Arabidopsis thaliana: one gene and its partner. The protein of the gene in region 2 binds, or shares a complex with, the protein of the main gene of each other region. Each region holds a gene or a part of one and is shown on either strand. Other genes may lie near its edges. The genes, in order: AT2G02510 and AT1G76200. A codon is read from its position in the direction of its gene.

The links.
Region 1: the proteins of AT1G76200 (region 2) and AT2G02510 are in contact, whole or in part, in a cryo-EM structure (PDB 8BEH), measured with the Arabidopsis thaliana proteins. Residues at the interface, in NP_565128.1 of Arabidopsis thaliana: Ile10 (codon at 1,984), Thr11 (codon at 1,981), Tyr12 (codon at 1,978), Lys13 (codon at 1,975), Val15 (codon at 1,969), Val17 (codon at 1,963), His18 (codon at 1,960), Thr19 (codon at 1,957), Lys29 (codon at 1,927), Cys32 (codon at 1,918), Ala33 (codon at 1,915), Trp36 (codon at 1,906), Phe37 (codon at 1,587), Leu40 (codon at 1,578), Tyr41 (codon at 1,575), Lys44 (codon at 1,566); in NP_178355.1 of Arabidopsis thaliana: Glu17 (codon at 2,389), Trp18 (codon at 2,386), Lys20 (codon at 2,380), His21 (codon at 2,377), Pro22 (codon at 2,374), Met23 (codon at 2,371), Leu24 (codon at 2,368), Leu32 (codon at 2,344), Pro33 (codon at 2,341), Gly34 (codon at 2,338), Ile35 (codon at 2,335), Ile37 (codon at 2,329), Gly38 (codon at 2,326), Val39 (codon at 2,323), Ala41 (codon at 2,317), Phe42 (codon at 2,314), Tyr45 (codon at 2,305), Leu46 (codon at 2,302).

The regions. Positions count from the first base shown.
Region 1 is NC_003071.7:671,517-675,774, reverse strand, and holds AT2G02510 (NADH dehydrogenase (ubiquinone)s), read right to left. Parts: upstream 2,516-4,258; 5' UTR 2,438-2,515; coding exon 2,219-2,437; 3' UTR 2,207-2,218; intron 1,277-2,206; 3' UTR 789-1,276; downstream 1-788. Other genes in the region: AT2G02515 (uncharacterized protein), read right to left, coding at 230-505; ISPD (Nucleotide-diphospho-sugar transferases superfamily protein), read left to right, coding at 2,651-2,759, 2,852-2,949, 3,106-3,177, 3,272-3,327, 3,531-3,610, 3,706-3,788, 3,905-3,982, 4,076-4,144 and 1 more. UniProt on the Arabidopsis thaliana protein: Accessory subunit of the mitochondrial membrane respiratory chain NADH dehydrogenase (Complex I), that is believed not to be involved in catalysis. Complex I functions in the transfer of electrons from NADH to the respiratory chain.
Region 2 is NC_003070.9:28,591,483-28,595,361, reverse strand, and holds AT1G76200 (NADH dehydrogenase ubiquinone 1 beta subcomplex subunit), read right to left. Parts: upstream 2,152-3,879; 5' UTR 2,012-2,151; coding exon 1,905-2,011; intron 1,589-1,904; coding exon 1,543-1,588; intron 1,439-1,542; coding exon 1,382-1,438; intron 868-1,381; 3' UTR 612-867; downstream 1-611. Other genes in the region: AT1G76210 (DUF241 domain protein, putative (DUF241)), read left to right, coding at 1-160; AT1G76190 (SAUR-like auxin-responsive protein family), read right to left, coding at 2,766-3,137. UniProt on the Arabidopsis thaliana protein: Accessory subunit of the mitochondrial membrane respiratory chain NADH dehydrogenase (Complex I), that is believed not to be involved in catalysis. Complex I functions in the transfer of electrons from NADH to the respiratory chain.

The DNA of each region.
Region 1 (4,258 bases), on a different chromosome or scaffold from region 2:
ACCTCTCAAAAAAATATGATATTACTATAAAATGTGTGAGTCATATTCTAGTATACTATAGTAATAGAGTTGAAACAGAAACTTTGTCCAAAATTCAACATAGAAATACTAAATGACATACTTTGTAACTTTTTTTATAGATTTATGATATAAAAAAAACACTAATACAAAACATATTTTATGTTGTTATGTATTATTTAAGCGATTAATATCATTTTTTGGAGACAGTCTAAGATGATGGTGGACATCCGGGATTTTGATAACCTGGAGGACAATAAGGTATAACTGGGAATTGTTGCACTGATATCATCGCGTCATGGTTCGGTGGAGGTGGAGGAAATGGTTCGGTTGGAATAACCGGTGGATTAAACGGTTTAGAATCGATTTGAAATTTTGGCTTTAGCGTAGGAGAAAAAGGTTCAATCCTAGCATGACCAAGACCAGATGCAAGAAGAAGCAAAGTAGCCACCATTGTTATTGCGGGGAGCTTCAGAATCATCTTCATATTTTGTTTTGTGTTTGCAAATGTCTAACCTAGATTTTTATTTATATTGTTGTGACAAAAATAGCATAAAGCAATATACTTATCTTTTTGTTGACTAGAATTATATGCTGTGACAAAAAAAAAGACAATTAATATCATAGATTTTGACTAGATTTCTGTCCAAAAAAAAAAGATTTTGACTAGATAATTTCATATAGAAAGAAAGTTATATGTAACTGAATAAATGTGGTGATTTGACTAATTTCATTGGCAAGATTTAATTTCTAATATGAAATAAATCATTAGGATTGATATGTAGTTATGTACCAATACAATTTAACCATACATGTGATGTAAGTAAAAGGATAAACAAACTGTACCGTGTAAATGCTTCATATAACAACCTTCATGCTTCATGCTTCATATGATATTGATTTTTGGTTTCAAACCACTCGAGTTTTTACATTCGTCTTAACCATAGCCAATAAGGAGGATCATTGACGTTGTTAAAAAGCCTTTGCTAATGATATCGCACAAAAACGACTGCTTGTATCACATAAGAGGCAATCTTTATTCTCCAGTGTCATCTTAGAAGAACTACTATTAAGCAAAGAAATCACATAACGAAACCATGTACTGGAAACTGTCATACAAGATTATAACATTCAACATAGAGATCAGAGTCTTTGTCTTTCATTCACAGCTTATTGAGACAATCCAAGAAACAAAAAAAACAGCAAATTGTGAATCCATCAGCTCTTTATCTGCCACGGTTTTCATCATCGAAACAATCTGCAACAACATGAGTAATTTCCTTTAGTATACAACCTTTTACAAAAAAAGATTCAGAGCCAAACACCAAAGAGGGTCTCATAGAAGAAAAGATACAAAAAATGACACCTATCTTTCAGATCATTAGTATTAAAGCAAAGAACCAACAAACACAGAAATCAGACAAAGCTAATGCTACACATTAATCATCACAGATACGTATAGACATTTTGAAATTGATCTGAAAGATAACAGATACTAATTAGCAATATGCTAATAATAGCTGGTAACTTTTAAGAGTGTACATAAAGATAATCACTGAAAGCCGTAACCATAAACATGTGACCGATCCAATCCCAATACTTCAGGATTCTAAAAGCCATAACCATTTGTTTTAGTCTCAAAAGTGTTTATTCAGCTTTGCTCTATACATTACCTCAAGGAATGGATTCATCTCAAACTAATACACACATTAGCCATTGACAATAAAGCTTCTAACATTGAATCACTGAAACTAGACAAAAACATGATCTAATCCCAAACCTTGATTCTAACCATATTCCTAGATTATATGCACAAATCTTACTCTATCTTCCACAAAACTTGACTTCAAATCTCATAACTATTTGTATTAGTCTCAAAGTGTTTATTCATCTTTGCTTGCAAGGAATGGATTCATCTCAGACTAATACACATTAGCCATTGACAATAAAGCTTCTAACTTTGAAATTTCAATCACTGAAATTAGACAAAAAACATGTACTTTGACTAATCCCAAAACTTGATTCTAACCATATGCAAAAATCTTACTCTATCTTCCTCAAACGTGACATTCTAAGAACTTTGCCAAAGTTTTTGTTTATCCAATCTTTCACAGAGAAGTCAAATCGATTTAGGATATAAACCTCCGAGAAGCAAAACAAATTCGAGAAGATTTGATTTTTATTTTACCTAATGATTCTCTCAGTGAGATGGAGCGGGTTGTTTCTGATGCGATGATTGAGAAGAAGGAGCCATGAGTTTGCTATAGATCTGTTCACCGACGAGGTAAACGCAGAAGGCACCAACACCGATTCCGATACCTGGAAGTGCGTGTCTCATTTGATTCGATAGCATCGGATGCTTCCTCCACTCATCCCTTCGCCGGAAAAATTCACCGGTTGTTCCCAACGGTTTCGCCATTTTCTCCGGTCTTCTTCGATTTTTACGTTTTTTTCTTTCTCTTTAGCTTTGTTGTGTTGTTTTACTGTATTGAATTATGGGCCTTATTAAAAGCCCATTAGTATTACTGAGTTTTTAATGGGCCTGATGGGCTTATTGTTTTTAGTTGGCCTTATATATATATTGGTTCTCCGAGGAACCGGAGCTTTCTTCTTCTCTCAGGCGAGATAAAACATGGCGATGCTTCAGACGAATCTTGGCTTCATTACTTCTCCGACATTTCTGTGTCCGAAGCTTAAAGTCAAATTGAACTCTTATCTGTGGTTTAGCTATCGTTCTCAAGGCAATTTCTCATACTCTTTATATACGTTCAAACCAATGAATCTCTGGTTCGGTGAGGAGATTTTTGATTGTTTCTGAATGTTGATTTTTCAGTTCAAAAACTGGATTTTTCGAAAAGGGTTAATAGAAGCTACAAAAGAGATGCTTTATTATTGTCAATCAAGTGTTCTTCATCGACTGGATTTGATAATGTAAGTGTTAGTTCAAAACTTGGAATCACTTAGTTTTGAAGCTTTATCTCTAGTTTAAGTTTTTTTTGTTTTTCAGAGCAATGCTGTGAATGTAAGTTTAAAGTTTTGAATCAACTCAAATTTTGAAGCTTTTTTTTTATCTCTAATGTTTTTCAGAGCAATGTTGTTGTGAAGGAGAAGAGTGTATCTGTGATTCTTTTAGCTGGAGGTCAAGGCAAGAGAATGAAAGTAAGTGTTTTTGGGATGAAAGTTTCAAACTTTATGCTCGAGTTTTAATTGTTTGTTCTGTTGAGTTGTTTGTTTTTCTATGTAATGTGAATAGATGAGTATGCCAAAGCAGTACATACCACTTCTTGGTCAGCCAATTGCTTTGTATAGGTAACATTTCTTACTTGAAAGTCAGTTGATTGGTTAAGTCTTGTATGTTGTTTGAATCTGTTTCTGATAACTAATTACAGTCTCGTTTGATTGATGGAAGAGTTGTAATTTGACTGTTTTTTCATTCTGCGGAATCTACTTGTCTATTAGTATTGAACCATCTTTGCTTTGTGTTCGTTGAATTTTATGTTTCATTGTTGCAGCTTTTTCACGTTTTCACGTATGCCTGAAGTGAAGGAAATTGTAGTTGTATGTGATCCTTTTTTCAGAGACATTTTTGAAGGTTTTTTAGTCTCTCTTTCTCTCATTAGTTATGTTTTTGGTTGAGAGATGTTCCAAAGATTTCTCTGAGCCTCTTTTTGTTTTGTGGTGTTCTAGAATACGAAGAATCAATTGATGTTGATCTTAGATTCGCTATTCCTGGCAAAGAAAGACAAGATTCTGTTTACAGTGGACTTCAGGTTTATACCTCCGTTGCTTTGATTAACATATCCAATGAATCATTTACTCAAAAGAAATAATTCTACAACATACTGTCTGTTCTAGTTCATATAAGCTTCAAGTTTATTTCTCATAGGAAATCGATGTGAACTCTGAGCTTGTTTGTATCCACGACTCTGCCCGACCATTGGTGAATACTGAAGATGTCGAGAAGGTATACTTATGAGAAGTAGCAAAAGATTAAGGAGAATGAAACAAAATTCTCGAAGTCCCTTTAGAATTTATTGCACTGTTGTATTTTGTTAAGGTCCTTAAAGATGGTTCCGCGGTTGGAGCAGCTGTACTTGGTGTTCCTGCTAAAGCTACAATCAAAGAGGTACAAAATCTTAAGTTAGTTTTTTTTTTTTTTGTCATCACCACATTCTCGATATTCGACTTGTTCCATTTTGCGATATGCAGGTCAATTCTGATTCGCTTGTGGTGAAAACTC
Region 2 (3,879 bases):
TTTGTTAGATGATGAATGGGACGAGACTGCGGTGCAAAGCGCGACTACGAGGTTGGAGGCGGCGGAGATTACTGTAGTGGAGCTTGAAATAGAGTTGGAATCTATTTTCCGGCGATTGATTCAGACGAGAGTTTCACTTCTTAATATTCTCACCAACTAGATAATATATGATATGTCCGGATCGGTTAGGTTTTGCTTCAAGCGGACATGTTTAGTTAACATTAAATAGATTGATTTGTAAACTTATTTTCAAGTTTGCAACATCAAATTCTTTTATTCTATATAATTTATTTTTTTACCCGTTTCCTAAACTGGCTACTTGGATTAAAGACTTGAAGTTGAAGGCACACTTTTTGTCTTCACCAAAAATAGAGTCAAAATGAAATTGTTATTCAAGTAAAATTTGAATTATAGATGTTTGTTTATTTATTCACAATTCATGTTGCTAGAATAGACATTTTCAATTTGATGATTTTGCATATTTTTTTTGGTTTTCAGATATAGTTATAAAAACCATTAACAAATTCAGTTTCGTAAGTGTTAATTTGTATACTTAACACAGCGAATATAACTAATTTCTAGTGTTTCTTTGTAATTCGTATCATTGGAGGCTGGATCTAAAAACACGAATCTCGCAATGCGTTTTATTTCAAATTAATTTGTTGACAGCAAAATAACAACATGATCAGGAAGTGCAACACACAAGTAGTAACTTAAAACAGAAGCAGCAAGTCTTACAAAGTTGTGTACAAAAACAATTCACGTCTTCTTCACAGTTCTCTTTATTTCGACATATGAAGCTGAAAATTAAGAAAAAAACAAGAGACGATCCTTTTTTCGTCATGATCTTCAAAGGTTCAGTGAGACCTAGCAGCAAAACCCAAAACCAGATTAGTGTCAAGTAGTTTGAGCAATGCTTATATGGTTACATGAAAGGTGAACTCGAGGATAACTACAAATCATCAATGTCTAAACAAAGAGAAAACTCAAAACATGTACCACTAAACTAATAACAAACATTCACAATAAAGGCACTCAATTTTCATTCACTCCCGAGAGTTTCAATGATTCATTCTAGTAGATATAAATCAAGAACATCCTATAGAGAAGTTAAAGATCCTCTAAACTTTCACCACTTGTATGAACCAAAACCAGATCAAAGCTATCATCTTTCTTCAAAACCAACTAGATAGCAGTTAACAAGAGATCTTGTTAGTAAGTGACAACTTAGAAATGCTACTCTACATTATGCATAGACATTAGCTTCATTGAGGAATTGCTATACGGTATAAACAATAATGCGTGTTTACTACGAAAAAGGAGATTTTTTAATCATCTTTCTTAATGATTCCATCGACAATACTACTAGTAAAGACATTACCTAGTGATGATCTCCGTGACCGTGATCACCATGACCATCCCAAGGGTGCCTCCATCCCTATCCATTGCCAATAGCAAGATCAGATTCAGCCACCACGAAAGATATTAGGACCAATAAAATTTACAAAAGCGAGACAAAGATAAAAAATGAAAGAGTTTTACCATAACTACAGGACCATCTTGCTTTGCCCTGTACAGAATCCAGAACCTGAAAATACCAAAAATTGAGTTTTTAAGATGTGAATGCTAGGGAAAGTTAAAACCTATGTGCGATTACTTCTTCAACCATTCTCATCGAACTGAAATTGACATAAGCAATATCTGATTCAAATTAACATCTACCTGATTAGCTCCGATACTAATTTGACAAATCCAATTTTTTGATTCAAATGGATTCTATATACAAAATTCCTCAGATGATCAATTAGCCCAAAATCCCCATGGCGAGATCTAGCTACGATCGAGATTAGCTAGGTCCCAAAATCAAAAGCGAATTAGGTGAAAGAGAGAAATCAGAAATGTACCACATAACGGCGCACAAGCCTTTTCCGGTGACGGTGTGCCAAGTCTTGGGAGTGTGGACAGTGACTCCCTTGTAAGTTATACCTCCGCCATGTCCTCCTCCACCCATTATCTCTCTCTCGAAACCCTAGATTCCCCGATTCGCACTTCAATTTCAGACCGAAAAAGCTTTCTTTCTCCTCAGCTTTGACAATTTACTACCTGAGATTTGATTCAACCATGTGAGTCGTCACTTTTAGTAAGGCCTCAATTAAAAGGCTTAGGCCCAATTTAAAGACCAAAGGCCCATTTCTATATCTGTTTCTTTCACAATGTTTTCTTCCTTTTTGGGCCCTTTAAGAAGTTTGGATACATGAATTGAATGTTTTGTAGATTTTGTAAGAGTTTTTGGTTTTTGTTTTCCAAAAACTTATTTTCATACCAATCAAGATTTTAAAATTTTGGTTTCCCTACAATTTAGAAAAATTATTTTCTTGTAGTTTTCCATTCATGATTTTAGTTTTTTAGTTCTCCTAAAATTTAGGAAATCTAGTTTTTACTCAATCAACGTTATTTTTCTCAAAAACCAAAAACCAATTTTTTGGGGTTTTTGAAACAAAAATATAATAATAAAAATCTGAAACTAAAATCTAAAATCTATAAACTAAAATCTAAATTCAAAAACTGAATCCAAAATCAGCATCCATTCAGGGCCTATAACTTCGTCCCAAATCGTTGTTTTAACCGTCAAAAAAAGACTCAAAATCAAATGATGATACTGTATCATTGATACATTACAATAATTAATTTATTACAAGATCATGTTGGTATACACAAAATAGAACAACCCTTCTCCAAAAAAAGTTAACAATTACTCCAAATGGTTAGGAAACTAATGACTGAAGCTGGCTCTGTCCACGAAAGAGAGAAGAGATTGAAGCTCCCTTGCAGGTGCTGCTCGTGGAAGACTTCTCCACATCATCATAATCATGGGACATGCTCCTTCTCACAAGCATGATGATGTGATCCATTAAACTTCCATCGCAAGGAACTTTTAAAGGACCATCAATGGTAGTCCCAAACTCATCCTCAGCCATTTGCAATAGCACCTGTAACATCGGATGATTCAGATAATCCAATGGTAAAACGAATCTCTTCCCTTCGTTCGTGTACACAGCGAAGTGCCCTTTCTTCCTTCTTCTCCATTTCTCCATCAATTCGGAGAGTCTAATCCCTTTAGAATTTAGTTTCTTCATATGATTTTTGTGTGTGTGTTACTTCGGCTTTGATAGTTTCGTTGCGTATGTATCTGTCTGTATGCAACCTTAATTAAATGCCTAACTGCTTCTCTATATATATAGCAATATATGGACCAAACTGTGGATTTTGATGTGTGTGGAGGGAAAAGGATGTTCGTGCTTATTTGATTGTTTTTAGTTGCTTTTCAAATTTGTCCACAAATTGGATCACGACCACTCGTGGAGTTATGTACTGACCTTCTACAAATATCTAGAGATTTTCGATCTTTCTAATTATTTCCGTTTCAAAACATGAATTACGACTAAATGCAATTATCTTGGTTACTAACACACTTGTTTTTGTCATTGTCATTAATGAACTTTGACAAAGCTATATCACCATGTAGACAGTATCTCATTATTTGGAAATTAAGTTAATCAAATCAAGCTAAGCTAGTGTATTGACAGACCATAACATTACAAATAATACTAACTATTACCACTTTTTCTTTAACAAGATACTAAAGTAGTTGCAGAGCGCAAAGGTAATGATAGAAACATGTGAGCGTTTCGAGCAAGTTGCTTGCTACTTTTCATTTTATAGTTCTCTCTTCTACTTTCATGAGTGTTCGTTGTTTTTCTTTTTCTCGTCACATGAAAATCCTGCAAATCATTTTTTAAAAACTTTTTACAGCCAACAAATCTAAATCACTTCATCATGATATTAAGTGTAACATAGATAGATGGAAAAACTATCTTT